Xenopus tropicalis: one gene and its partners. The protein of the gene in region 1 purifies or fractionates together with the protein of each later gene. This does not show direct contact. Links are inferred from orthologs where the notes say so. Each region holds a gene or a part of one and is shown on either strand. Other genes may lie near its edges. The genes, in order: akap11, prkar1a and prkar2b.

What was found.
Region 2: the proteins of akap11 (region 1) and prkar1a purify together in Homo sapiens (affinity purification with mass spectrometry; 3 studies listed by BioGRID and IntAct, counting the BioPlex papers as one, with this or other methods). This does not show direct contact. The link is inferred for Xenopus tropicalis from reciprocal best matches to the Homo sapiens genes AKAP11 and PRKAR1A.
Region 3: the proteins of akap11 (region 1) and prkar2b purify together in Homo sapiens (affinity purification with mass spectrometry; 3 studies listed by BioGRID and IntAct, counting the BioPlex papers as one, with this or other methods). This does not show direct contact. The link is inferred for Xenopus tropicalis from reciprocal best matches to the Homo sapiens genes AKAP11 and PRKAR2B.

Annotation. Positions count from the first base shown.
Region 1 is NC_030678.2:132,781,395-132,791,730, forward strand, and holds the start of akap11 (A-kinase anchor protein 11), read left to right. Parts: upstream 1-4,165; 5' UTR 4,166-4,401; intron 4,402-10,336. UniProt on the Homo sapiens protein: Binds to type II regulatory subunits of protein kinase A and anchors/targets them.
Region 2 is NC_030686.2:50,529,658-50,540,046, reverse strand, and holds the start of prkar1a (cAMP-dependent protein kinase type I-alpha regulatory subunit), read left to right. Parts: upstream 1-5,586; 5' UTR 5,587-5,719; intron 5,720-10,389. UniProt on the Homo sapiens protein: Regulatory subunit of the cAMP-dependent protein kinases involved in cAMP signaling in cells.
Region 3 is NC_030679.2:76,687,955-76,698,425, reverse strand, and holds the start of prkar2b (cAMP-dependent protein kinase type II-beta regulatory subunit), read left to right. Parts: upstream 1-3,721; 5' UTR 3,722-4,120; coding exon 4,121-4,388; intron 4,389-10,471. UniProt on the Homo sapiens protein: Regulatory subunit of the cAMP-dependent protein kinases involved in cAMP signaling in cells. Type II regulatory chains mediate membrane association by binding to anchoring proteins, including the MAP2 kinase.

The DNA of each region.
Region 1 (10,336 bases):
AATATAGACTAAGAGCAACTTTTTAAACATTTTAAATGGTGATAAAATTGTAAATGTAATTTTGATAACTGCTGTCTTCTGGTTTTGGCTCTGGAAACAATGTAGTAGAAGTCAGTTCTCTTCCAGTTCTGTTACAGGAGTCAGAACCAGCAGTGCAGGGTATATAAGCAGCAGGACAGATGCAGATTTCAACTGCAATTACATTTACAAATAGCTTTAAAACCACTAAAAATTATTAATTAATGTGTCTTGGAAAGTTACTTGGAACAAACGTTGCTTTCCCTATGCAAAAAAAAAAAAAAAAAACAATGTTTGGGAAGAGATCCCTTTAAATGGGCCATATTTTAATATATGTTGTAGCTGATTAAAATAAAGGATCTTCAATTTCTTAAAGCTGTACAGAGAAGCTTGGTACCAGGCAAACCTCCCAGCATGGAGATGACTTGGCTTGCAGATAATTTTGCTTTGCCTACAATGCATTTCCTTTCTTACCCCCCCCCCCGTGTCTTTTCAGAAAGAACTATTTCTGCTATAGAAATCAAATGCTAAAAAGGTTCTGTAACCCCTATTTGGTGGTAAAACAGTCAAGCACCAGCCAGAATAGGTTAGGGCATGGGGTACATGCAACTCTCTTAGACAGGATGGACCTTTGCTAAATGGAAGTATCATGGGGTGTAGTGGAACTACAACTCACTGTAGTTGTGTGCAGTGCAAATTAGCAAAAATGGACGCCAGAAGGTTCTTGATGGTGAACAAATAATAACTGTGTTTATTGTCAGAGACAAATAATAATGCAGGGTTAGCTCAGACACTCACAATGCAGATGGTATAGCTATAGTACCCTGTGAGGACAACAAGAAAGGATGCCACCGGTTTATCCCACCTCTTTGGGAGACTGGGCAGGGTAAAGCACCTCTATGAAAGCACAGCTCGGCACCTCTAGGAAAGCAGTCTGGATAAATACCTCAGTCCTCAGGTTGAATACCTTTAGCTTTAAGAAACTTACAACCGACTGTGGATCAGGGTTTAGGTACTGCCTGTATCCTGTGTCTTAACCATGGCCCTATGTTAAGGCAACAGTGTCTGTATAAAAAGGTACTTCCAGCTACTTTCCTGGTTGGAGCCCAAAGCTGCTCTTGCTTCCTTCAGCTAACTATCTCACTTTCCTAGAAAGAGCTCAACAGAGTATAACTATATAACTTGTCCTCATTCACGGGGTCCCTGTCCCCGACTTCTCTAGAGTATAGATGGATACTCTAGGGTAGGACTGGCATTACTGGGGCCCTATTGATCCCAGGCTCAATGGACCTTCCACCTGAGGCAGCCAAAGATGAAGACCCACCCCTTTGCTAAACACTACATTGGAGTGCAAGGGGTAAAGTCAATCTATAAATGTGGATTTAGAACTCTGCAACAAAGCAAGGCAGGGCAGGTGTAATAGCTAAACAAGGTCAGCACTGGAAAAAAAGACAAAATGGGCTCAAATACTGAAATCCAAGTTTTCATGGCCAAGGAATGGATATTTAAAGTACACGACATATATCTATTTGAGAAGTATAAATCAAGCAATGAGAATCAAGTTCAGCAAGATTAATTTGCTCAAAACTGATGTTTCTCTTTCTCCTCAAAATATTCTGTATGTTTTCCCATCAGTTTCTCCTCATTGTTTCACACAACATGTTTCTTTATCTTTGTTTTATATTCTCACACAGCAGGTTTCTTTATACTTTGTTTTTGCCTCAAATAACAGATAGCTTTAGCCTTTTAGTGGTCAGGCTACTGCATCCCATTCCTGTCTCTTCTCACTTTCCATACAGACGACAACAAGAGGTCCTCTGCACTCACCCATTATCAATATATACAGGACATTAAGGAACTCTGTGCATAAAGCTACCAAGAAATGCCCTCCCCTTTAGGCAAAACAGGGATTATTTGTCCATATATTGCAATATACTTCAAGCTGGCCAACTATGTCAGTCATCCCCAGTCTGGCCAGTCCTACACTCACTTTCATTTGACCCACCAAGAATTTCACTGCTTCTCACTTTCCAACCATCATGGTCAGCTACTTTATTATGGAATTGGCGCTCTTCTTCCACCTTATTCCTGGACAAACCAGACCAACTGGTGCTTGGAACATTCATTGGTGGGGACGCATGGTCTGAAGCCATCAGGGGACCACTCTTTACCAAATGCTTCCAGCTGTGATCCCAACTGGTGGGGTACCTGCCACGGAACTAACCACAACTGACTTCTTGGGGCACTACATTGCCAATTCTTCTTTATAATACGGAATATAATTGCTTTTGTTCTGTCCCCAGGGGCATATAATCTATTTAGGCATTTAAGGGCACATGCTTAGGGCAGCAGCTGTAGGAGTGCTGTACTCAGTGCCTATACGTAACAAAGAGGTTTTCCTGTCTTTTTTTCCGGTTTTTAAAAACCCACTATTTGCCACAGGACAATGGCTGCTAAATCCAGCTGCAGAGTTGTGGGGGAGGTGTGGGTACCCCCCACCTAGCTGAATGGCACAAAGACATTCCTGCAAATGTGCTGATCAGTTAGGGGGTGGTTGGAGGGATGTATATGTTAAAGAATTAAGGGACCCTAATTATATCATAGTAGATTATTAGCATATCAATTCTGTGGCAACTGTCCTGAGTGGTTTTCTAGAAACAATGTGGTAAAGGCAGTGGCACAATTGCAAAATGTGCACCATCACAGCTAGCTCTCTTATGTATTAGTAAGGGTGAAGACACACAGAGCTATTAGTAGGAGCTACTTGTCATGTCTACTAAAATAGATTATACTAATAATTTACTGATAATTGTCTCTACATATATTTTAGCAGAGGCAATTCTCAGTATTGTCTATGGCAGGGGATTTTCTGGCGTTTAGTAGCCGAGACAAGTAGCTCCATGTGTCTTCACCCTAAAGCTAGCCTTTGCACTACTCCCCTGTAACAGAACGGCACACTTTGTATCTCCCCACAGGCCACTGTAATAGAATGTGATGGAGGAGCACAGCTGTAACGAGAGCAGTGATACAAGAGAGGAGTGATCATACAGGATAGTGACCATACTGAACCTGGCTTCAGTCTTGCACACACGTCTGCTGCCATTGTCACAGTCCAGATGCCAGTCTGGGGCACAGTGTGAGCCAAGGAACAAGCTGAGCATCACTGGCCACTAAGGATTAAGTATTCATTTGGTTTGTATGGGCCCAGTACTTCCCTACACCCACAGCAGGTGCTTCTGTGATCTCTGTCTCTATCTGGGTAAAGGCCAAATCATAGGTATAGAATAATGAAGATATTGTGAATTGTACTGGACCTTGCAATAAGCAGTGTAGCTTCAATCCCACTGTTTCACAAGTAGCAGACATCTCTAAACAGAACAAGTTAGGGTTATCACCATTTTTTTTAAAAAATAATGGCCTTCCCATATTTCTGTCTTTCCTCCCTATTAATAACATTGGCATTGCGCATCATTTTTACCAGACAGGCCATTATATACCGGCAGTGCAATGTTGGTTCCCAGTGTGATGGCAATCAGAGTTTAGGGCACTAGAACATGATGTAAGCACATGGGAATGGGTTAAATTAATGTGCAGAGTTGTAAAATATAAAAAGTAATACACATAACGCCATCAAAAATCCTTTAAACTCTACCCTTATAATGCCACCAGTTGCTCAGAGATGTAATTTCACATGTCACATGACTGTTTCCTTGTGTATTATAACAGATAATATATCCCCTGGTTTTGCAAAATATAAGGATATTAGACATTTCTGGAGAGTTCCATGACCTGTATAAAAACATTTGTTTGGCCATTGAACTCCCCAGAGCCTTCTAATACCCTTATAGTTTACAACTGGGATATTTCATTCCCTATATTTTTGTGTGAAACAGAGAAATATTATTATCCCCATGCAGCCATTAATGTGCTTTAATGGCCTTGGAGCCACAGACAGGAATTGTTTACACAGCAGAAAACCTCATTGGCGCTGTACCAGCTATAGGTCCAACTACAGTGAGTGGCTACAGTGAGTGGCTACAGTGAGTGGCTACAGTGAGTGGCTACTGTAAGTCTCAGCGCCATACATGCACTTGCCGGCTATGACGTCAGTGCCAGCCATTCCTATTGCCAACCAACGCGCCGTCAGGGAAGCGCAGTGAGATGACGCAGGAGAAACGTCAGCAGCGAGTAGCAGCAGCACAACACTCCCTCAGCTGCCCAGCTAAGCTTCCCAGGGTCCGGGGCCCGGAATCTGCCAATGATGCTGCCACTTGGTTTATTGCGATGAAAGCGCTGCAGGAATAACCGATCTACGGGCCGCAGTTGCTGCAGCGCTTCTGTGCACCTTGTGGCGTTGGGGGCCTGCGTATGACCGGATGATAGGTAATGATAATGGCTGTCAGCTGCTCTGTGTGCCTGTCATTCACACCATTCGCAACATAGCACTGCAGAATCTCCATGGCTTGCCTGCGCTTCTGTTGCTGCTCTGTCAGACATAGGCTACTGGGAGTTGTAGTTGCACACAGACAGTATGGCATTCTTGCTTAAAGTAATCCGCTGATTAGCATGCTTAATCCTTTTATTGCTGCTAGTTATGATTTGCCTCCAGGTACAGTGATCCTGGGAGTGTGGCACCTTGTTTACTTTTGGGCTCTGAGTGGCCTGTGACTCAAATACTGGTACTGCTTTGTGCTATTGGGGCGGATAAAACATGAAAAGTAACCACTGGTTCCAACCTCTGTCACTGCACTTCCTCAATACAAAGTCATAGCTGTAAGTTTCTATATGAATCAGCTGTCTGAGTCCCAGAGTAGGGGGACCAGATAACCAGAAAATTCAGGGCCTAGAATTTTCCTTAATACTTGTCATAGTATTCTCCTGGGGTAGCAGGTTGTGCTACTGTGTTCTAGTCTGAAAAGTAAAAAACATAAAGAAATTGACACTCATGATGACATTTGTGGGAGTGAGCAACTCCATTACATTGTGACCATTGGCTCAGGGATAAATGGCATGGGCCAAATCAGACAAATATTTGGTTGTCTGAATACTTTACCAAACAATGATCTTTATTCCCTTCTGTTCCTTCCAGTACAGATGGACAGGATTTTGCCAGTTTAGTCAAAATATGTCCCATTAACAACAAAAACAAAATCTACCCTTTCATCCCTTGGAAAGTTTATCACATAAGGTGAGCCAAGTTGCCTTGTTTACCTTCACCCTGATGATTATGGCACATGTGATATTGTTTGGTGCCAGGCATATAGTCTTATTGGAAGCACCTTCCTGCTGTTTTTGCCTTTGGAATCCTTTGTCATGGCAGTCTCTTTGTTACCTGTGGTGGGTTTGATACTGTGGGTTCCTTGTCTTGTCTCCTTCTTAAGGTTTCTGACTCGGGGAATGGGGACTACCAGACGCATTCCTGTACATGGGTGCATTTGGGAGATAGGTACTCACATACATAATGCTGTGGAATCTTCCCAAATGTAGTTAGTTCAAGAGCTGCAGATAAGACTATGGGGCTGTTCATCTTCAGGTCTGTGAAAACCCAACACCCATCTTTTCCTAGAAAGTATGAAATTGTCCTTTCGGTTTGTAGCCCATAGCAATTTCCAGACAATCAGATTTCATCATTTTGGAGCAGTTTGATTGGTTGCTGTACAGCAAATATGTTAGTATGTGGTTTTTTTAAAGCTTTAAAATTTATGGATGGGATGCTGCCAGAAGAACTATGCAGTTATCTAGCAGATACACAAACAATAGTCTTTGGTTCCAAAATAAGACATGTTATTTGAATGCAAAGGCAGAAGAATAATTGTTCTGAAAGGAGGTATATATATGGTGGTATATATGCATTTCCATGGCTCTCTAATTCTGATAATGGGCTGCAGTCAAACAGGTTTGATTTCATTGTATTTAAAATACTAAATGGCTTAATACCTCACTGCTTGTTAAGGGTAGTGCCACATGGGGCTTGCGTATAAACATAGGCAGAGAATCCACCGGTCTCTGCTCATTCATGTGTCTGAACTCATAGGCACTGCGTTGGCCTGGGTGCAGACACACAAAGCAGATTTCGGTGTAAAACTACATATGTTTTCCCGGAATTCCCTCTGGCACTGTTCCCTTTAAGCTGTGTACTCATGCACGTGCACACAAATCAATACATTTTGAGTATATTATTCTGATATTTGTACACCAGTTTTTCAAAAGTGAGCACAAAGAAACTTTTTGTGCACAGAACCAAGAAATTAGAGGGAACATCCATGTGTCTGCACCCAGGCTATTGCAGTTACAGTGAGTGCAGAGGCCTGAGGATTGGCTGATTCTCTCCTCGTGTTTTTACACAGACTGAGAATGAGCCCCATGTGGCACTACCCTAAGCAGGAATTTAATTTATTACTTGATTTGAGCAGGGTTGTGGAGTCGGTACATAAATCCTTCAACTCCTACTCCTTAGTTTATGGTACATTCAACTCGACTCCGACTCCTCCGATTCCTTCACTTTAAATACACTAATGTATTTTCTATGTTGACCAAATAGAACACAACATACAAAGCATTTCATCACTGCCAAAACTCAGCAGTTGTAAAGCTAGATGAAGATGGTGTCTGCTTTTGGGAACAAACCAAAGAACTACTTGCTAGGCAACTGACGCATTATCCTATTGGCCATACAAGCCTTTCACAGCCAACATGAATGAGGATACTGTTGAAGTTTGGGTCTAAATCTATAACTAAGCTAAGCCTATGTCCTTGTGGCTTTTTATCATTTAAATAAACTACAAACATCCCTAAAATCTAAAGTTTAAACAAAAGACAAAAAATGAAAACAATAAGATTCTAATAGCTTCCCTGGACATCAGACTAGTGAAACAACACCACACTGGCCTTTATTCTTACAGTACCTCTTACAGAAGTACTTTATTATGACTTATCTGTGAAATAGAATATTGTAACAAACCTTAACAGCAGTCAGAGTCGGCACATTTGTGCTGACTCAAACTTTAGGTACCCATAATTGCTTCCAACTCTCGACTCCACAGCTGAGGACTCATAGGAGCAAACAACATTTGATCCACTGATTACTGTAGGGGTGTTGCTCTTGTTCATTCCCACAAAGCAATCTGAAAGAGATAGGATGTCTTATTTTAAGGAAGAATGAAAAAATGCCAAGTTTGTAATTCTCACGTGTCAAACACAAGGCCCGCGGGCCAAATCCGACCACCTGGCTGTTTCATGTGGCCCATTGTGACTGCCTGACCGTGCAGCTGACCTATTGCCTGACTGTGCCGCTCCTGTCCCAGTGGCGATGTTACTGTGCCTGATCATGCTGCGTGACCAATTGCCTGAATGCGCCACTCAAAGCAGCCGCTTTCATTCTGCCTTGCATGGTGCGGAATAACATAATACGCACCACACACCCTGCAGGGCAGAACATAAGAGCAGCCGCTTGGAGCACAGTCACCACAGGCCACATAATGAGCCTCTGCTCGTCCGTGGCCTAGATTGGCCAGGCTATTGTCCACGGCTCCCATCCGGTCCTGGCTTGTCTATGTGCCACTGGCAACGGCACCCAGCACTAGGCACAGCTGTGCCAGAGTAGAAAGATTCTAGCCAGAAAACAAATAGATGAGCAATTTTAAAACCTAAATTTCAAATATAGAATTATAGATAAATGTATTAAAAACTGTTGAGTTTGTAATTTAACTGTTTTGCTTACAGTTTGCCTTGTGCTTGTTGTTTTTTTCAAAACATGATTAATGTACGAGGATGGCATGTGATATTGTGTTTCAGGGTGAGGAAAGATCTATCCTTAACTTAGGCTAAGGGGCCGATTTATCAAAAGAGTTTAGAGCTTAATACATAAAAACGCATCCCTGTTCTGTTCATTTCTATAGGATTTTTAGAAGTGTATTTATCAATGGGTGAAAGTTATGATTTGAATGAATAGACCATTGGTTAGTTTTTATGATTAAGCTCTAAACTCACATTTTAATAAATCTGCCCCTTAGTATCTAAATAAAAAATTAGGCCCACGGCCCCCTTATGTGATTGAGTTTGACACCCCTGTTATAGTGATATTTCCTATCTGTGCCACCCTCCAAATTGTTCTGTTGTGCATCTATAAATGGAGCGTTGGTTACATCTCAAGGTTTGCTACAATAGATAGTTTTGGCCATCTCTAGAAAGGAAACAATGATGCAAGGCTGTGTTGTTACCCATGCGTGGCCAGATGTTAGTGGCGTGAAACCCTGCATGTTCCAGCATATAAACCAGAGTTAAGGTATGCTAAGCATGGTTGTGTATACACTGCAAGGGCAAATCTACACGTAGATCTAATGTAATTTTCATAAAATCTGGGAAAACAAGTTAAGATATAAGTATATTTTTTTGTTTTACATATCTATGCTGAGCGCTCCCTTGATTCTCATTAACTCATTTATTGTTAACCCCAGGCATTATGAGGATTGCAATTCAGAAGTAGCAGAAATCCATTGGTTAAAGATCCATCATAACCAGCCTGATTTTTATGAGCAGAATATACATGTACAGACACTGTTATAGAAAAAGTCCACAGATGATGCCTTTATAATACATATATACAGATTTACCCTACTGACTTTAGTAAATTTTGAAGCCCCAGTGTTCTGCACCTTCTGGGCTCTTTGCATACCGAGTAGTTAAGCATAAAACTAAAAGTGCTGCTTATATAGAACTGATCTGCAGGGCAAAGTGCAGATGTTTGTAACTGTCAGAGTCACTTTAAGTATCTACCTTTGTTATTTATACAGTAAACCCCATATACAATAAAAGGCACAAAGTTTGCCCAGTGCAGTAACCCATAGCGACCAATAACACGTTTGCTTAAAAACAGGTGACTAATAAAGGCTACCTGCTGATTGTTTGCTATGGGTTTCTGCAGCTGGGCAAACTTAGGGCCCTTTATTATATAACTCCATAAATATAGTAAAAACGATTAGCTTTTGATTGTGACTAAAAAGTAAATAAATTGCAAAGCTTGCTTGGGCAAATATGTACCAAATTTGTGGTTTATTGGTAATTGGAATTCATCACTTGTTTTGTTTTCAAGTTTTCGAGTTTTATTGTCATATACAAATAACAATGAAGCATCATTAGTGTAATGAAATTTTTTTGACCCGTGTTCCTCCCAACTTTACATAGACAAAAAAAAAAAAAAAGCTTTTACTGATGATTCCAATGAGAATTTGATCCCCAACCTTTTTTATTTGTGAGCCACACTCAGATGTAAATAGTGTTAGTGAGCGACACAAGCATGAAAAATGTTCTGTTTGGATGCCAAATAAGTAGCGAGGATTGAATTCTTTTGTGTGAGGAAAAAGTTGCAGTTGCATTAAAAAAAGTTGCAGGCTTCAGAAAAAAATCATGGGGTGGCCGCATTTTGCAAATGTTTCAGCAGTTTTGCAAATTTTTCTGCGAAACAAGACAGATTCGCTCATAGCTACAAATAAGGACTGTGCAGGAAGCTCTGCTGGGAGTAAAACTGTATCTGTGTGCTTCCAAAACGTAGGCACCCCCCAGTGTTTGTAATCGCTTACCTGTTACCCCAGCCGGTGCAGTTTTCTCCTAACAGGTGCACCAGTAATTACACTGGGGGGGGGAGTGCCTAACATTTTGGTACCCCCCAGTGATTGTACTTTACCTTCTCCTTTAAAAAAAAAAAAAAGGTAAAAGTGTCAGAGGAGGAACAATGTAGAATGCTTTCTGTGGCAGGCAGAGGAAATGCCATTGGATAAAGAAGTCATTATAGAATGTAAGAAGCACAACACATGGAAACCTACAAGTTCTCAGATGAAAAACAGCTAAAGTTCATGACCCAGCCAAGGGCTATTAAATACTAAAAAGGCAATTAAGTTATGTGTATCATTACCAGTTTAGTTCTCTTTTATGTGCAGGAACATGGAGTTTTGGTTTTGCTCCTTGACTGCATTGCCCTGTCCCGTGTTTATCCGAGGGGATAGGCCACCCTGTCTGTATACATTGTACTCTTACAAAATTCATGTCAGCCCTAAAATAGGACAGGAATAAATCAGAAGTGCTTGATAATACAACTACAAATGCAGGCAGTAAGGTTCTTTTCAAGGATTTGTTTTTCTAACCTATATCATGCTTCACCTTTTTATGAAGGCAGCTTAGTGCAACGCACCTCCATACCTCCAGTGCCTCTATGCCAAGGTTCTATCTAGTTACACTTAACCAGGGCAGTTTATTAATAACCACCAATCAGTGATGTAAAAAGAAGCAGCACAAGGAATGTTTTCTGTTTGATAAATCTGCC
Region 2 (10,389 bases), on another chromosome or scaffold:
CACTCTTATGGAGCTTACAGGGGAGGGGCAGAGAGTCAGTTACTCAAGCAGTGGGTGGGACTAGAACACTCTGTAGGAAGCTAACAGGGGAGGAGCAGAGAGTCTGTTACTCAAGCAGTGGGAGGGACTAAAACACTCTTATGGAGCTTACAGGGGAGGGGCAGAGAGTCTATTACTCAAGCAGTGGGAGGGACTAGAAAACTCTTATAGAAGCTTACAGGGGAGGGGCAGAGAGTCTGTAATGCAAGCAGTGGGAGGGACTAAAACACTCTTATGGAGCTTACAGGGGAGGTGCAGGGAGTCAGTTAATCAAGCAGTGGGAGGGACTAGAAAACTTTTGGAAGCTTACAGGGGAGGGACAGAGAGTCTGTTATTCAAATAGTGGGTGGGACTAAAACATTCTGATGGAAGATGTGGGTGGGACTAGAAAACTGATGGAAGCTTACAGGGGAGGAGCAGAGAGTCTGTAATGCAAGCAGTGGGTGGGGCTAGAATACTCTGATGAAAGCTTAAAGGGGAGGGGCAGGGAGTCTGTAACACAAGCAGTGGGTGGGACTAGAACACTCTGATGGAACTTACTGGGGGGGGGGGAGTCTGTAAGAGTAAAATATATTGTATTTCTAATGTATTTGAGAGACAGAGAGCGGAAAGGCTGGGGCAAGAAGCCTAAGGTGTAACTGTATGTAAGTCCCTGTTTGTCCCCCCTATGCCCCCAATCTGGGAAGCCTTCCAACAGAGTGCCCATTGCTAGCACATACCGGAGGGATGTTTATCTGGTTGCCCCCGGCTGACTCTGGCAATGTCAGTAGCCCCAGGCATCGGGGAAGGACTTGTTTCCAAAATAGAAGGCGCGTCAGCTTGTTTGGGGGGAGGAATCTTCCAGCTGAGACTCATTCACAAATAGCTGGGGGGCAGGTAGTCACGGTCCGGTTACCCTGTAACAGAGAGGCAGGAAACTGAGCGGAACAGCTGCGCCCGACAGGCTGATTTATGTTCCCCTTGGGGCTCACTGACTGCCCCTGGCCGGGCGGCCAACACTTTCTGCCCATGTTGCCCCGAGCGCTATACACATTATGAGCGTTATGTTCCCCTGGGGCTCACTGACTGCCCCTGGCCGGGCGGCCAACACTTTCTGCCCACGTTGCCCCCAGCATTATACACATTATGAGCGTTATGTTCCCCTTGGGACTCACTGACTGCCCCTGGCCGGGCGGCCAACACTTTCTGCCCACGTTGCCCCCAGCATTATACACATTATGAGCGTTATGTTCCCCTGGGGCTCACTGACTGCCCCTGGCCGGGCGGCCAACACTTTCTGCCCACGTTGCCCCCAGCATTATACACATTATGAGCGTTATGTTCCCCTTGGGGCTCACTGACTGCCCCTGGCCAGGCGGCCGATATTTTTTGCCCCGAGTGCTATACACATTATGAGCGTTATGTTCCCCTTGGGGCTCACTGACTGCCCCTGGCCGGGCGGCCAATATTTTTTGCCCATGTTGCCCCGAGCGCTATACACATTATGAGCGTTATGTTCCCCTGGGGCTCACTGACTGCCCCTGGCCGGGCGGCCAACACTTTCTGCCCACGTTGCCCCCAGCATTATACACATTATGAGCGTTATGTTCCCCTTGGGACTCACTGACTGCCCCTGGCCGGGCGGCCAACACTTTCTGCCCACGTTGCCCCCAGCATTATACACATTATGAGCGTTATGTTCCCCTTGGGGCTCACTGACTGCCCCTGGCCGGGCGGCCAACACTTTCTGCCCATGTTGCCCCGAGCGCTATACACATTATGAGCGTTATATTCCCCTTGGGGCTCACTGACTGCCCATGGGAGGTGGGATATTGGCCGGGCGGCCAACGCTTTCTGCCCACGTTGCCCTGAGCCGAGGAACCTGGGGCCCCGACTAACACAAAATCCCGACCTTACTCAGCTATTATATGTTATAGAATGGCCTATTCTAAGCAACTTTTCAATTGGTCTTCATTATTTATTTCTTATAGTTCTTGAATTATTTGCCTTCATCTTCTACCTCTTTGCAGCTTTCAAATGGGGGTCACTGACCCCGGCAGCCAAACCCTATTGCTCTGTGAGGCTCCAGTTTTATTGTTACTGTTACTTTTTATAACTTGTTTGTCTATTCAGCCCCTCCCCTATTCATATACCAGTCTCTTATTCAAACCGCTCCCAGGTTGCTAAGGTAATTTGGACCCCAGCAACCTGCAGAGCTGCTGCACCAAAAGTGAAGGTGAACAACCCTTTTAATATGGACTTTAATTACAGAGAGTGATACCCAGAGAGGGACAGATAAGTAATGAACCCCCCAATATACAGATTGGCTCACTTACTTGGCCTTTAAATGTTGCAAGATCCCAGAGAGATTCATGTTCTATCCCTGTTGCCACCGGATATTTATGGGGAAAAATCCAACACAAATATTAAAAAAAATTAACCATTGGGTTGCTATGCCATCATAAAATGCTGTCTTGTTGCTATGGTAAAGCATACACAGCAACCAGAAATCAGACAGAGACTCAGCATGCTTTAACGCCACTCACTGCCAATGGTGCCATCCCATGGGAACTTACTTGGGAAAAACTCATTGGCTTTCCAGGGTATCATGGTGGCATCATTTTTTCTGGATGAAAAAACAAATGTTTGTCAGTGCAGCTGCCATAGTAACGTTTAGTGTAGTGTTACTGTCCCCATCTTGCCCTACTGTCTCCATCTTGCCCTACTGTCTCCCTCTTGCCCTACTGTCTCCCTCTTGTCCTACTGTCTCCCTCTTGCCCTACTGTCTCCATCTTGCCCTACTGTCTCCCTCTTGTCCTACTGTCTCCCTCTTGCCCTACTGTCTCCATCTTGCCCTACTGTCTCCCTCTTGCCCTACTGTCTCCCTCTTGTCCTACTGTCTCCCTCTTGCCCTACTGTCTCCATCTTGCCCTACTGTCTCCCTCTTGCCCTACTGTCTCCCTCTTGTCCTACTGTCTCCCTCTTGCCCTACTGTCTCCATCTTGCCCTACTGTCTCCCTCTTGCCCTACTGTCTCCCTCTTGTCCTACTGTCTCCCTCTTGCCCTACTGTCTCCATCTTGCCCTACTGTCCCCATCTTGTCCTACTGTCTCCATCTTGTCCTACTGTCTCCATCTTGCCCTACTGTCTCCATCTTGTCCTACTGTCTCCATCTTGCCCTACTGTCCCCATCTTGTCCTACTGTCTCCATCTTGCCCTACTGTCCCCATCTTGTCCTACTGTCTCCATCTTGTCCTACTGTCTCCATCTTGTCCTACTGTCTCCATCTTGTCCTACTGTCTCCATCTTGTCCTACTGTCCCCATCTTGCCCTGCTGTCTCCATCTTGCCCTACTGTCCCCATCTTGTCCTACTGTCTCCATCTTGCCTTACTGTCCCCATCTTGCCCTACTGTCTCCATCTTGCCCTACTGTCTCCATCTTGCCTTACTGTCCCCATCTTGCCCTACTGTCTCCATCTTGCCCTACTGTCTCCATCTTGTCCTACTGTCTCCATCTTGCCTTACTGTCCCCATCTTGCCCTACTGTCTCCATCTTGCCCTACTGTCTCCATCTTGCCCTACTGTCTCCATCTTGCCCTACTGTCTCCATCTTGTCCTACTGTCTCCATCTTGCCTTACTGTCCCCATCTTGCCCTACTGTCTCCATCTTGCCCTACTGTCTCCATCTTGCCCTACTGTCTCTATCTTGCCCTACTGTCCCCATCTTGCCCTACTGTCCCCATCATGCCCTACTGTCTCCCTCTTGTCCTACTGTCTCCCTCTTGCCCTACTGTCTCCCTCTTGCCCTACTGTCCCCATCTTGCCCTACTGTCCCCATCTTGCCCTACTGTCTCCATCTTGCCCTACTGTCTCCATCTTGCCCTACTGTTTCCATCTTGCCCTACTGTCTCCATCTTGCCCTACTGTCTCCATCTTGCCCTACTGTCTCCATCTTGCCCTACTGTCTCCATCTTGCCCTACTGTCCCCATCTTGCCCTACTGTCCCCATCTTGCCCTACTGTCTCCATCTTGCCCTACTGTCTCCATCTTGCCCTACTGTCTCCATCTTGCCCTACTGTCCCCATCTTGCCCTACTGTCTCCATCTTGCCCTACTGTCCCCATCTTGCCCTACTGTCTCCATCTTGCCCTACTGTCCCCATCTTGTCCTACTGTCCCCATCTTGTCCTACTGTCTCCATCTTGCCCTACTGTCCCCATCTTGCCCTACTGTCTCCATCTTGCCCTACTGTCCCCATCTTGTCCTACTGTCCCCATCTTGTCCTACTGTCCCCATCTTGTCCTACTGTCCCCATCTTGTCCTACTGTCTCCCTCTTGCCCTACTGTCTCCCTCTTGCCCTACTGTCTCCATCTTACCCTACTGTCCCCATCTTGTCCTACTGTCCCCATCTTGCCCTACTGTCTCCCTCTTGCCCTACTGTCTCCATCTTACCCTACTGTCTCCATCTTGCCCTACTGTCCCCATCTTGCCCTACTGCCTCCATCTTGCCCTACTGTCTCCATCTTGCCCTACTGCCTCCATCTTACCCTACTGCCTCCATCTTGCCCTACTGCCTCCATCTTACCCTACTGTCCCCATCTTGTCCTACTGTCCCCATCTTGCCCTACTGTCTCCCTCTTGCCCTACTGTCTCCATCTTGCCCTACTGTCTCCATCTTGCCCTACTGTCCCCATCTTGCCCTACTGCCCCCATCTTGCCCTACTGTCCCCATCTTGCCCTACTGTCTCCATCTTGCCCTACTGTCTCCATCTTGCCCTACTGTCTCCATCTTGCCCTACTGTCTCCATCTTGCCCTACTGTCCCCATCTTGCCCTACTGTCCCCATCTTGCCCTACTGCCTCCATCTTGCCCTACTGTCCCCATCTTGTCCTACTGCCTCCATCTTGCCCTACTGTCTCCATCTTGCCCTACTGTCTCCCTCTCGGGGGCTCGGCAGGAATAGAGTTAAATAGAGAGAATAGAGAGAGAGGAGGTTAATCCGGCGCTAATCCCCCTCCCAGGAGCCATAAAGCCAATAAAGGTGCCACAGACCCCGCCCCCCCCCACTGACAGGATTAGAGTGCCAGCTCTGCAGTGTGGGACCAGGATACCGGGGAGACTCCCCAATCCCTTGCCCTGCCTGCACCCTTACTCTATTCTGTGTGGGAGGGAACAGGGGGAACAGAGGGAATGGCGGGAAGGAGAGATAACAGGGAGTAAAGGGAAGTAACTAAGAGCGGAAGGGAGTGAGGGGGAGGGGGAGGGGGAGGGGGGAGAGTGAGCCCCCCCCGCACCCCGGTACCGCACTGGCCCGCAGCTCCCCTCTATAGTGACCGTTTCCGGTTGGGGGGGCGGGGTGTAACGGAACATGTGACCCAATTCCCACACACTGCGCCGCTATTACATAGAACAGTTTAACCCATTGCTGGTCTAGGAGTGAGACACAGAGGCCGGCAAGGAAAGAGTTACACACACGCAGCGAGGGGCGTGGCTACACGGAGGCAGAAAGGCGGGGCTAGCGGTTGCCATGGTTCGCGGTTCCTGTCAGACCGATTGACGTCACTGGCGGCCGCTGATTGGCTGGGCGCTGTTTCCGGTGAGGGGAGAGGAAGAGACGGAGCTGGGCCTGAGGCAGCGGGAGAGACTGGGGGACACAGCCGGGAGCCCGGGATACAGAGCGCACACAGCCCGGCATTGGCACCGGTGAGACCAGCCCCGCTACCTGCCCCGCTACCTGCCCCGCTACCTGCCCCCGCTACCTGCCCCTCTCTATCTGCCCCTCTACCTGCCCCTCTACCTGCCCCGCGTTATACCCCCCATACCCTGCCTCACCCTTGTACCTGCCCCGACTCCCTGCTTTATCCCCGGTACCTGCCCCTCCCCTATACCTGCCCCTATTGCCCTGAGCAGCTGCCCTTCAGCAATACCTGCCCCGATCAACTGCCCCTCCCCTCCCTGTGCTCTTTATTTGCTCCCCCCACTCTCCCTGGGAATTGCCCCCAACATTAGCCCTTCCCTGTGTATCTGCCCCATGCTTATTGATTTTATTTGCCCTTATGAACTGCCTCTCCCTTGGCTCCTCCCATTATCCTGTTTGTTTGCCCCTCCCCCTATACCTGCCCTCCTGTAACTGCCTCCTGTCTCTATACCTGTGTAACTGCCCCCAGGGCTCCATTCCCTTATTGCCCCCCCGTATCATTGTGTTGCCCCCAGCCTGTATATACGGGGCTTCATTCCCTTATTGCCCCCCTGTATCATTGTGTTGCCCCCAGCCTAGCGCTACAGCCTGTATATACGGGGGCTCCATTCCCTTATTGCCCCCCTGTATCATTGTGTTGCCCCCAGCCTGTATATACGGGGCTCCATTCCCTTATTGCCCCCCCTGTATCATTGTGTTGCCCCCAGCCTGTATATACGGGGGCTTCATTCCCTTATTGCCCCCCCTGTATCATTGTGTTGCCCCCAGCCTGTATATACGGGGCTTCATTCCCTTATTGCCCCCCCTGTATCATTGTGTTGCCCCCAGCCTGTATATACGGGGCTTCATTCCCTTATTGCCCCCCCTGTATCATTGTGTTGCCCCCAGCCTGTATATACGGGGGCTTCATTCCCTTATTGCCCCCCTGTATCATTGTGTTGCCCCCAGCCTGTATATACGGGGGCTTCATTCCCTTATTGCCCCCCTGTATCATTGTGTTGCCCCCAGCCTGTATATACGGGGCTTCATTCCCTTATTGCCCCCCTGTATCATTGTGTTGCCCCCAGCCTGTATATACGGGGGCTTCATTCCCTTATTGCCCCCCTGTATCATTGTGTTGCCCCCAGCCTGTATATACGGGGCTTCATTCCCTTATTGCCCCCCCCGTATCATTGTGTTGCCCCCAGCCTAGCGCTACAGCCTGTATATACGGGGGCTTCATTCCCTTATTGCCCCCCGTATCATTGTGTTGCCCCCAGCCTAGCGCTACAGCCTGTATATACGGGGCTTCATTCCCTTATTGCCCCCCTGTATCATTGTGTTGCCCCCAGCCTGTATATACGGGGCTTCATTCCCTTATTGCCCCCCTGTATCATTGTGTTGCCCCCAGCCTGTATATACGGGGGCTTCATTCCCTTATTGCCCCCCTGTATCATTGTGTTGCTCCCAGCCTGTATATACGGGGCTCCATTCCCTTATTGCCCCCATATCATTGTGTTGCCCCCAGCCTGTATATACGGGGCTCCATTCCCTTATTGCCCCCCTGTATCACTGTGTTGCCCCCAGCCTGTATATACAGGGGCTCCATTCCCTTATTGCCCCCCTGTATCACTGTGTTGCCCCCAGCCTGTATATACGGGGGCTTCATTCCCTTATTGCCCCCCCGTATCATTGTGTTGCCCCCAGCCTGTATATACAGGGGCTCCATTCCCTTATTGCCCCCCCGTATCATTGTGTTGCCCCCAGCCTGTATATACAGGGGCTCCATTCCCTTATTGCCCCCCTGTATCACTGTGTTGCCCCCAGCCTGTATATACGGGGGCTTCATTTCCTTATTGCCCCCCGTATCATTGTGTTGCCCCCAGCCTAGCGCTACAGCCTGTATATATGGGGGCTTCATTCCCTTATTGCCCCCCCCGTATCATTGTGTTGCCCCCAGCCTAGCGCTACAGCCTGTATATACGGGGGATTCATTCCCTTATTGCCCCCCTCGTATCATTGTGTTGCCCCCAGCCTGTATATACAGGTGCTCCATTCCCTTATTGCCCCCCCGTATCATTGTGTTGCCCCCAGCCTAGCGCTACAGCCTGTATATACGGGGGCTTCATTCCCCTTATTGCCCCCCTGTATCATTGTGTTGCCCCCAGCCTGTATATACGGGGGCTTCATTCCCTTATTGCCCCCCCATATCATTGTGTTGCCCCCAACCTGTATATACAGGGGCTTCATTCCCTTATTGCCCCCAGCCTGTATATACGGGGCTCCGTTCCCTTATTGCCCCCCCTGTGTCATTGTGTTGCCCCCAGCCTGTATATACAGGGGCTTCATTCCCTTATTGCCCCCCGTATCACTGTGTTGCTCCCAGCCTGTATATATGGGGGCTTCATTCCCTTATTGCCCCCCTGTATCATTGTGTTGCCCCCAGCCTGTATATACAGGGGCTTCATTCCCTTATTGCCCCCCATATCATTGTGTTGCCCCCAGCCTGTATATACAGGGGCTTCATTCCCTTATTGCCCCCCATATCATTGTGTTGCCCCCAGCCTAACGCTACAGCCTGTATATACGGGGGCTTATTCCCTTATTGCCCCCCCCGTATCATTGTGTTGCCCCCAGCCTGTATATACGGGGCTCCATTCCCTTATTGCCCCCCCTGTATCATTGTGTTGCCCCCAGCCTGTATATACGGGGGCTTCATTCCCTTATTGCCCCCCCTGTATCATTGTGTTGCCCCCAGCCTGTATATACGGGGCTTCATTCCCTTATTGCCCCCCCTGTATCATTGTGTTGCCCCCAGCCTGTATATACGGGGCTTCATTCCCTTATTGCCCCCCCTGTATCATTGTGTTGCCCCCAGCCTGTATATACGGGGGCTTCATTCCCTTATTGCCCCCCTGTATCATTGTGTTGCCCCCAGCCTGTATATACGGGGGCTTCATTCCCTTATTGCCCCCCTGTATCATTGTGTTGCCCCCAGCCTGTATATACGGGGCTTCATTCCCTTATTGCCCCCCTGTATCATTGTGTTGCCCCCAGCCTGTATATACGGGGGCTTCATTCCCTTATTGCCCCCCTGTATCATTGTGTTGCCCCCAGCCTGTATATACGGGGCTTCATTCCCTTATTGCCCCCCCCGTATCATTGTGTTGCCCCCAGCCTAGCGCTACAGCCTGTATATACGGGGGCTTCATTCCCTTATTGCCCCCGTATCATTGTGTTGCCCCCAGCCTAGCGCTACAGCCTGTATATACGGGGCTTCATTCCCTTATTGCCCCCCTGTATCATTGTGTTGCCCCCAGCCTGTATATACGGGGCTTCATTCCCTTATTGCCCCCCTGTATCATTGTGTTGCCCCCAGCCTGTATATACGGGGGCTTCATTCCCTTATTGCCCCCCTGTATCATTGTGTTGCTCCCAGCCTGTATATACGGGGCTCCATTCCCTTATTGCCCCCATATCATTGTGTTGCCCCCAGCCTGTATATACGGGGCTCCATTCCCTTATTGCCCCCCTGTATCACTGTGTTGCCCCCAGCCTGTATATACAGGGGCTCCATTCCCTTATTGCCCCCCTGTATCACTGTGTTGCCCCAGCCTGTATATACGGGGGCTTCATTCCCTTATTGCCCCCCCGTATCATTGTGTTGCCCCCAGCCTGTATATACAGGGGCTCCATTCCCTTATTGCCCCCCCGTATCATTGTGTTGCCCCCAGCCTGTATATACAGGGGCTCCATTCCCTTATTGCCCCCCTGTATCACTGTGTTGCCCCCAGCCTGTATATACGGGGGCTTCATTTCCTTATTGCCCCCCGTATCATTGTGTTGCCCCCAGCCTAGCGCTACAGCCTGTATATATGGGGGCTTCATTCCCTTATTGCCCCCCCCGTATCATTGTGTTGCCCCCAGCCTAGCGCTACAGCCTGTATATACGGGGGATTCATTCCCTTATTGCCCCCCTCGTATCATTGTGTTTGCCCCCAGCCTGTATATACAGGTGCTCCATTCCCTTATTGCCCCCCCGTATCATTGTGTTGCCCCCAGCCTAGCGCTACAGCCTGTATATACGGGGGCTTCATTCCCTTATTGCCCCCCTGTATCATTGTGTTGCCCCCAGCCTGTATATACGGGGGCTTCATTCCCTTATTGCCCCCCCATATCATTGTGTTGCCCCCAACCTGTATATACAGGGGCTTCATTCCCTTATTGCCCCCAGCCTGTATATACGGGGCTCCGTTCCCTTATTGCCCCCCCTGTGTCATTGTGTTGCCCCCAGCCTGTATATACAGGGGCTTCATTCCCTTATTGCCCCCCGTATCACTGTGTTGCTCCCAGCCTGTATATATGGGGGCTTCATTCCCTTATTGCCCCCCTGTATCATTGTGTTGCCCCCAGCCTGTATATACAGGGGCTTCATTCCCTTATTGCCCCCCATATCATTGTGTTGCCCCCAGCCTGTATATACAGGGGCTTCATTCCCTTATTGCCCCCCATATCATTGTGTTGCCCCCAGCCTAACGCTACAGCCTGTATATACGGGGGCTTATTCCCTTATTGCCCCCCCCGTATCATTGTGTTGCCCCCAGCCTAGCGCTACAGCCTGTATATACGGGGGCTTATTCCCTTATTGCCCCCCGTATGATTGTGTTGCCCCCAGCCTGTATATACGGGGGCTTCA
Region 3 (10,471 bases), on another chromosome or scaffold:
CACTTATCAAGTTATGTTTTACATTAGCACTATGAAGGTACAAAACTGCAAAGCTTCTAAAAGGTGTACAGAATACCAATGACTTCTGCCTCAACAAAGGATGGATTCAGGGCTTATGTTTTTAAATCCTTCCAGTGTTCAAAAGAAATTAATTCTTTATGATGTGCTAGAATAATTATGTTGTTGTTAGCATTTTCCATTGCTGTCATTTTTGTTTCAGATATTTCTTTAATCCTTTTAAAGAGAGAAATGGATTAAGGCACACATAGATTTGAAGCCAACCACATACAGTTCCATTGCGACACAATCCAATCATTTACAGGTGGGTAATCATATTATTCCTAACCAGTCAATTGTGGAACCAATTGTGCGCAGTTTCATTTAAAAAAAATATTAGGATCATAATACGGAATGTTGTTGCTACAATGATTCCATACAATGATGCATACATATATATATATGTATATAGTTTTATGCTCCAAGATGCAACCACATTTTGGTGCAAGTTACATACCTGCCATACTATTTCATTCATCTTGCCCCAGTTATATTTATTACTAGTTACTGTCAGTGACTCTCTCTGATACCCTCTTCCTTTGTAAACTTGTCCCCCTCCTTCCAACTACCAATGCCCTGGTTGTCCCAACTTTCTATATGCATCCACCCATATAATTCAACACCTGCATGCGTGATTTATTTGGTGGGCCCTTAAAACTGAAGAAACTGAATTTTGTACTGAAAAATATTTTTGTGTACATTTTTATACATGTCTCTTTGTCTTTTTTATTTCTACTTTTGTATGCCATGTATTTTTACAATACATTGCTAGAAATGTACAATACAATAAATATACTGTATATGCTTCACAAGTGTAAAAAGGACAGTTGGGGTGGGCAAGGTTCAGACACAAAAAGGATGTGAATCTGAAGAGGCCTTATGTAAGAACTGAATAATTCTAGAAACACAGGTTAAAGAGGTTGTTGACCTTTAAGTTGACCTTTAAGTTATCTTTTGGTATATTATAGAATAATATAAAATAGCTTTTTTAATCAGTTGTTTTTATAGATTTATAATTGTTTGTCTTTCTCTTCTGTCTCTTTCCAGCATTTAAATGGAATGCTGCAATTTTTTGTTACTTTTTATTAAGGCCCTCTACTGCTTATCTGCCAATCTCTCATTCAAAACAATGAATACCCTGTCTGTTTTTAAACAGGCAACCAGAAAATGCTACCTGCTGATTGGTTGCTATAGGTGATTAGACCAGTAGCAAAATTTTCACAAGGGCATGCATGAGTATGTTAAAGACCTATGGTTGTATCTTGGCAATATGTTGAACTGATTGTGATGTTGTGTGACTAGGGAGTGAAAGGGTACAGTAAATAAATTCCCAAAGATATCATGTCAAAATAGTGAGGACTTTTTTTCTTTCATTAATAATTTATTTGACTTCATATTCTGCCTCTGTCCAACATGTGATTTATAGCACTACTTGGGTTTTAGGGTCAGTAACCAGAAAACAGAATGTGAAGCTATATTATTACAATTATGTTTCTATTTATCTTTCCTCTATTAGGGCTTTTACATACAAGCATTTTTTACTATGTTTCCCTGCGCTGGATCATTCATACATTCCAGCACAGGGAAACACAGGAAGAATCGCAGCCTACTCGTTTGTGCTCACTGAAATGCAAGGGCAGACCGCAGGTAGAACGCATCAATCTTTCTGGCTGGTGCTTGAAGCTAGCCTGAAGTTAATAGAGAGGTAAACACAAGAAACTTAGGTGTTAAATCAGACAAGTGCAGTGGCCTATACCAACATACAGCAATTAGCTTTTTAGTCAATTAAAAGTTAGAAAATAATAGCAAAGATCTGTTTGGTTGCTATAAGTAACTGCACTGAGGAAATGTAGCACATCTGGTAAATCAGTTGCAATAGCTTCTTTGTGCCTGAGACCAACAGAATGATTTTTCATTTGTCAGTAAAACATTTGTACGGCCTTCTGGCTGTTCACCCTTTTGTTGTGATGGTTAGGCCAGGCAATAGCTATCATGGCTATGATGAGGGCATTCATTTCAGTACCTAATGCCATAATCCACCTACTGGCAAACACCAGCCAGAGAGATTGTGCAGCTATCACTGCAAACCTGCACTTGATAAACAAATAGAACTATTGCTCCAGCTAATGAATAATAATCTTTACTGTATAGAACTGATGGTTTGGTAAGTACTACCATCTATTCTTGACAATATTTGTCCATATGGTGATCATTTTTTACATTATACTCAACAGTTAAGCAGTTTTTCCTTTAAAAGATTATTTAGGGAAAATGCGGCTTTAGAGAATTAATGTTACAGGGATACTGTCATGATTTTTATGGTATACTTTTTATTTCCAGATTACATTATTTACATAGCAAATAATTCACTCTACCATTTAAAATGTTATTCTTGAACCAACAAATGTATTTTTTTGTTTTAATATTGGTGTGTAGGCAGCAATCTCAGTGCACTGTGCCTGAGTCTGAGCTTTCAGAAGAAGACAGGGCTACACATTAGAACTGTAACTGGAGGAGTCCCAAGATGCACTTGGATTTCCTACTACTGAGTGCTATTCTGATATCTAGTGGGAGCTTCTGTCTTGCTACCTTCTACTGATTGGCTGCTGGGAGGGGGGGGGGTCATATCACTCCAATTGCAGCTCAGCAGTAAAGTGTGACTAAAGTTTTTCAGAGCACAGGTCACATGGTTGTGGAACCCTGGGAAATGAAGAATATGGCTAGCCCCATGTGAAATTTCAAAATGAAATTTAAAAAAACCTGAGTTTATAAAAAAATGGATTTAAATGCAGGGTTTTTCTGGTGAAGAAAACACCTGTTTCCCATGACAGTATTCCTAAAAAAGCCAAGGAAATCCTGAAAATGTGATCTAAAATATGCAGATTTTTATTGTATAGTTGGAAAATGTGTATTTTTATGTGTGGATTTAACTTAATATATTGGCTGCTTTACAAACTACTGGCTAGTAGTACTGGCTAGATTGAGGCTAATAAAGATATACTTTCCAGGACAGTACAAAAATAGATTTTCAAGCAAATATATATATATATTTATAAATAATTAAAAGCTGGTCATACAGAGACAACATATTCGTTGTAAGAAAATGGGGATACCAGTAGGAAAAATCAAAGGAAAGCGAGGGCCTTTCTAGTGAAGACAATTAGAGCCTTATAGTGTAGTATAAATAAAACAGACTGCTGCTGATAGTCTGCCATCTCTGAGCCCTTAACCCACTTTCATTCTTTGCTGAAATCGGAGTCCCCTTCGGCCACATTGGTCGTTTTCTGCGCAGCATCCCCGCCAGTCTGTATCCGCACCTGCTCCACACGCAATGCTTGAGATGGAGGGTTGCCATGGTTTCCGGTGGTCACATGCACGCTGCTGGCTCCCATTTGATTGACAGGCGGCTGCGGGCGGGAGGCGGAGGATGCAGCACTTTGTATGCTCAGTTGTATTTGGTCTGCGCCTTGTGTGAGCTTGGGGGCCTGTTAATCCGGGAGAAGTGACAAGGACAACACAACAGCTTCACCATCTTCCCCGGAAACGATAAGGGTTCGCAGCGCAGCCTAAGCGTGCCTCTCATACCCTTATTGCCGCCGACTGCGGTGTCGCCACAAGTGAGAGCCTGGGGAGAGCCAGAGCCACAGCGTGGAAGAGGGATTCATCATCATCGCTGTAATTAAAAAGAAATCTTTTAAACCAGTGCCCACTTGCATGTTTGTATTGTCGGGCAGGGACCCGGTGCCTCAGGCCGCTGGACCTCGTACACCCTGCTGCCCTATGATCACTGCCTAATTGCCCCCCCCTCTTTAGCGTGTCATGTGGGCTCGCCTAACTTTCCTGTCACTTAAACCCCATCACCTGCTTGAATGTTAATAATGCCAGTTCATACGGATGAGCAGCGCCTTTTATTCTCATGTCGGTACCCCTGCATTATGCTCTATGAGTAGCATGGTACCCCATAGTAGCCAGCTCCCTGTGCCTACTGGCAGCCAATAGAGATCTCCCAGTGACATACTGCTGCTGTGCACCAAATCCAGCTTCCTGCCCCGCTACCCCAGGAATGAGTATAGAAATCCCGGAGGGGCTGACGGAGCTACTGCAGAGCTTTACCGTGGAGGTGTTACGAAAACAGCCCGAGGACCTGCTGGAATTCGCCTTGCAGTACTTCACCCAGCTCAAGCAGTCTAAGAGTCAGGGCGGCCCCCTCAGCCATGGCATGGAATTACCTTTCAGGCTCACTAAAGGGGTCATTTTCGCCGAGGAGCCCATGCAGACTGACTCTGAAAACGGCGAGGAGGAGGAGGATGACGATGAAGAGGATTTTGTGGGTATGTGCTAATGAGGAACCCTGCAGTTCAGGTGTCCGTCCTTTTGTCCCTGCCTTCCATATGCAGGGCATAGGTTTTTCCACCCTTTTCTCTCAAGCTGTGACTGAACTAAAATTGCCAGCTGTAAGGGAATTCTCGTGGTGGTGGTTTCCCCACAAAACTCACTCACACCGTATTGTTATTATATGTTTACGTTTTAGGGGACAGAACTAAGGCCACACCATACTGTGTATAAATTACAGAAACAAAACCTATATTTTCTCAGTCATATTTATAAAGATAAGATGCCTCATGGTTAGATATTATTTTATGGTACTATAACAAACACCTAACCTTTTGCTTGATCAGCGACATTTATATGAGATCCACAGTATATACATTCTTTGCCCATCCAGGCAACATCATGAGAATATTAAATAGTGCTCTTGTTATTGTAGTATTACTATAGCTGTCCTTCACCTATTGATGTCTCTACTCTCCCCTCTATTGTCCTAAGACACAGCATTATTAAAAACTGAAATCTATGTCAACTGCTCTGAGAATTAGAACAAAATATGATATTTTTAAAGTTACAGCAAATATTTGTAGTTGCTTAAGGCTAAAGACAGACATGGCAGATAAATGCCAGTGACTTCATAAGGTATTACCTTTTTTGCTGTTTCCTACAATCACATTTACCTGTCGCTGCGCACACAGGTGGGCATCAGATGCTGAGGCTGAAGTCTGCCCCGTGGGTCAGGTGGGTGTAATTGAAGGGAATATCAGGAGAAAAGGGCAGTACAGGCAGGCTTGTGCTTTTCTACCAGAGGAGGACCAATACATGTCATTACCTTAAAGGAATGTATTTTATTCTGCTGCCTTTCAATCATAGGATTTATTTGTCTGTGAAGACCCAGGTAATTGTTTCAATTTCTACTAAGAGTCCCAAAAAATTAAGAAAATGAAAGAGACACATTCATCTTGCGTGTTAGGACAAGGGTACTTTGGGATCCTTGTCAGCCAGTTTCCACCTAAAAAACAGCTAGTGTGCCTTTTCTTACCACAGTAGTCTGACAAACATCAGTCCTTGTGCATTTACCTGATTGCCAATTACTATAAGAGGAATAAGATGGAATTGGCTCTTTAAGAGATATGGGGAGAGGGCCTTGGTATGTCAAGTAGTTCTAGAATGGAGGCCCATAGGAGAGTTTTTATAATGCAGGGTAGCAGGGCTAGAAATAGGAGTAGGCAGAAGAGTTATGTGCCTCTGGCATAGTTAAGAGGTGTGACTAGGTGAGATAGGAGTGGTTGATGGGTGAGGGAGAGCCCAGACAGTGGCAGGGTTGGTGTGCAGAAGAAATTGTGAGTGCAGGACCAAATAGTCTTTCCTTGGGCGTCAATAGGACACTTGCTAAGTTCTAAGAAATAGCTTGGTCCATGTAACTATCAAAACTTTATTACTCTAAATAAAGTGTAAAATGATTTTGTTTATTAATTAAAAAACAACAACAACAAATATGCAGTTTGCAGATGGCACAAAACTATGTAGGCCAATTAATTGTATTCAGGATATGGCATCCTTGTGCATGATATGGGCAATCTGGGTAAGTAAATGGCATATGAAATTTAGTGTTAAATGTAAGTTTATGCGGCTGTGATTTAAAAATTTGTAAGCCATTTATACCTGAAAAGGGACCATATACCCCCATCATTTTAATATGAACTCATTCAGTTGGGCTTATGTTAAAAAGGAGCATAAACACTATCTAAATAAGGATGCATTTTAAACACTTACCTGATTCTACATATTGAAAGAAAACCTTTATAGCCAACCTATATTCAACTGAACCATTTCTTCCCCCCATAGGCTCACATTTTTATACAACCTTTTTCTATTGTGAAGTGATGGATTCTGGGACTTGAAGTGCTTCTGCTTTCAAGAGAATCTGTACATCACCCACTTAGCACAAGGGACAAGAGAGCTGAAGATATACACCAAAGGAAGGAAAAATAAAATATGTTGCCTACGGAAAAGAAAAATGTAAGGGTTTCTGTAACAGTGACCAGTGAGGAGGGCCTACACGAAATATGAAGCATTAAAAGATAAAAAGTGTGAAAGATGGGGTAGCTAGAAAAGAGGAATGGGGAAAAGTGAAGATCATTAAAATGGGTAAGAACAGTGCAAATTATTGTACAGTGGAGAAAATGTGTCTGGGCAAGAAGGCACAAGTGAGAATGTTAAAAGTTGGGGGGAAAAAGAAAAGGTATGTGGGGAACAGGAAGAAAGACTAGTGAAGAGAAGAGAAAGACAGAGGCGCATACCAAGGGGCTGATTTACTAATCCACGAATCCGAATCCCGAATGGGAAAAAACCTGATTGGAAAGGAACATTTTGCGACTTTTTCGTATTTTTTGCTATTTTTTTGTCGCCGTCACGACTTTTCCGTAGCCGTTACGACTTGCGTGAATTGTCGCAACTTTTTCGTAGCCGTTACAACTTGCTCGTATATTGTCGCGACTTTTTCAAATTGAGCGCTCGTAAACGATGATTTTGGAAGCCTTCCATAGGACTCAATGGCACTCTGCAGCTCCAACCTGGCCCAAGGAAAGTCACGATACTGAAGCTTGAATGAATCTGAAACTTTCGTACTCGGCGCGACGGCTACAAAAAAGTCGTGACAATTCGCGCAAGTCGTAATGGCTACGAAAAAGTTGTGGCAATTTACAAAAAGTCGTAATGGCTACGAAAAAGTCGCAACAATTTATGAAAAAATCGCAAAATACCGATCATTACGAAAAAAATGCATTCGGACGCTTTTCGGACGTTCGTGGATTAGTAAATGTGCCCCTAAATGTACTGCATACAAGTAAATGAACAGAAAAAAAAGATCTAAAGTAGGCTTACATTTACTACTGGTAACCAAACTTTGCCTAAGTTTAGCGATGCTTGTTGTACTGTATAGGACCTTAATAAATATTGGAGTTGTTGCCTGTTGTGTCTCAAAAATGGATTAGGTGCATCTTTATAAAGACTTTATTTAACAACGTAGAAATTGATGTACATTTGTCATACAGCTGCATAAGGAGCTATATATAAGTTATTATCACTATAGTAATTGTCTTTTCTTTTTTTTGTGAAAAAATGTGAATTTCTAAAAATTACTTTAATGTTATAAGGCAATGCCTGATAACCCATGGATTTACCTGGCAGGTTCTGGCCGACACACAATTCAGGTCACGGGCAGCTTTGAGTAGAGCTCTTCCTGCCACGACGTGCACCTGCCTCGCCCCTTTTGTGGCATCAGAGATGGGGCGGGCACGGGTATCTAAATAGATGTTGACTCTGGGGGGTGGTCACAGGTATAACTACTACTGATTTTGTCCTGTCCTACTGATAGAGGATACTCTTGTTGTTTTCCATTGGAAAGTTTAAAGGGGTCAGACAGTGGTCAGTTGATTTGGACCCTGATGGACACTATATAAAGCTTTTATCTTACGAATAACCCTACCCAGAAAGCTTCAGTTTACCCCATCAAACACCTTCTCTGCATCAGTGGATAGAAGCAAAAGTGGTGTTTTATGGTGTGGGCATTCTAAAATATTGTAAAAGTGTTGTCCCTTGCTACTCTGCCTGGTACAAATCCCACTTGGTCTTATGAATTTGGCCAACATTTTAGCATATAATACGGTATCACTATAACTATAACGAGCACTGCGGACGGGCTCTGTACCAGTTTCAATATCATTGTTATGGTTACCTGAAGAAAGGGTTTGAAAGGTGGATTATTAGCTGAGACGGAGTAAAGGCTTCTGGCATAACCAGAGAGAGTGATTCCCCAAGTATTTTATATAGTTCTGCAGAACAACTGTTTTTTCCAGCCAGGGTCACATAAATAGCCTGTCGAAGCTCTTGTGAAAGAAAGAGTTGGTCCAATACATCTCTAATGGTGGGGTAAATAAATTGTGAGGGAGTAGTTTCTTTAACATACTCCCTTAGATCATAGTGAGAATAGGTGGTGGGTTTGCTGTGTAAATTGTATAATTTAAGATGGCTGCAGTTGTACTAGTAAGATGTGAGGTAGTGCATTCCAATGTTCGTATGTTTTGTATAAATGTTGACTATCATATCTTTATGCAATTGTACAAAATTTCTGCTTTGGAAAAAAACCTGGCCATTCAAATCTGCAAAAGTTACTTGTTTATGTTCATGAATATCCTTAATGCTACATAAGCGTTGAAGTCGCATTACATTTTTATGACACATTCCCCAGCACTGTGTTTGGTAAGTAAAAGTTGAAGCCCCCCCTACAGGCGTGGGATCCCATTATTTGGAATCCCGATATCTTTTAAGCTCCAAATTACAGGAATTATACATATAATTATTTCCTTTTTCTCTAATAATAAAAACATAAGTAGACTTAAGGTATGTTGATCTAAATTACAGAAAAAACTTTTATGGAAAACCCCAAGTCCTAAGCATTATGTATAATAGATCCCTTACCTAAAGGGTTATTTTTTCAGGGTGGGGTGCTAAAAGACAGACGCAGTCCAGCCTGTTGTTCACACTTTGTACCCTCAGCTCCTCTGTTACAGTGTTGTATAAGGTAAGAGGTGGGCAGGGAAAGGCACATAGGTTTCTCTCCTCCTGCTCCCTACCTGTCCCAATGTGCATGTTCCTTAACCGGCACTGTGGTGCTTTGTACCTTGTGCTAGATTTTTAATATAGCACATAGTAAACAATGTAGCAAGACCCTGGGGTAACAGTGAATGTCCCATATAGTTTATACCTTTTATGTTATTGTCTGTAATAGTTTAGTATTATTTTTCCAGTATTAGAGTGCTCTACAGTAAAATTATTCTAACTTATTAAAGTGACAATATACAGGGCCGGATTTCCCAATTGGCCGCACCGAGGCCGCCCCAGGTCGCACGCCCCCCCCCCCCCAGTGCGCATGCGTGTAGAGGGAGGCGGGGTTTTGCGCATGCGCTGTAGGCCAAATCATGCATACGGAGCAGTGGGGAGAAGTCCCCACTGCTCCGTATGGGGACAAAACTTTTTAAAATTTGGTGTGGCGGGGCGGCATGCCGCCCCAAGGTTTCTGCCGCCCTAGGTCCGGGCCTTTGTGGCCTCTCCACAAATCCGGGCCTGACAATATAGCCCCCTTTTCTACTTGAGCTGAATGAAAAGGGCTTGTGCTGAACATACTTTTTTAAAATTTTATTGTTCTAAAGGTGTTGTTCACCTATAAATTAACTGTAAGCGTGATTCAGGGACTCAGTTGTGGTTTTTAAATGATTTAGCTCTTTGGTCAGCAACTCTCCAATTTGGATTTTTAGCAGCTATCATGTTGCTATGGTCCAAATTACCAATGCAACCAGGTAGTGGTTTAAATTAGCCAAATCACTTGAACATTTAGGTGAAAAAGAGCCAGGGAATAGCTTGAGAAGTTGCTGTATGTTTGTTCTGAGCAATGGAATAATAATAAAGGCTTTTTAATTTCTGATGAGGTGCTGTGCTTTGCTGAATCGCATTTGCTCAGTGGATTGTGGCCACAATCACCGTGCACCACAACTCTTTGTGCTGAATTAGAATTTGTTCTTTCAGATCACTTGACAATTCAGGGACATGTCTAATAAATACATGTTGCAGGGCAGCACAGATGGCATAAAATAAATTGCACTGATTTCAATCCTGCTAGCCTTAGATGTTTCCCTGAATTTTCAAGTGATCTGATCAAGACTGAAAGATGAATAGAAGATACAGTTTCCACCTGGTAAAATACTACTCAGTATTTCAAATTTTCTTGCAGTATGTTTGCTTCTGACCTTCCCTTAATTCCCTCCCAATCTAACTGGAGAGACCTGAATCTAATAGGAGAGGCCTGAAGAGCATGATAAGTGATAAAAATTAACAACAACAATAAAAGCCTCACTGAGCGATGGTTTTTTGGCTGCTGGGGTCAGTGAGCCCCCCCTTCAAAAGCTGTAAAGAATCATAAAAAAAGGAAAATAATTAAACTACAAAAGTTAAAAAATGAAGACCAAATGAAAAGTTGCTTAGAACTAACATTTAGCATTTTATAGAAATGTCAACCCAAAAAATA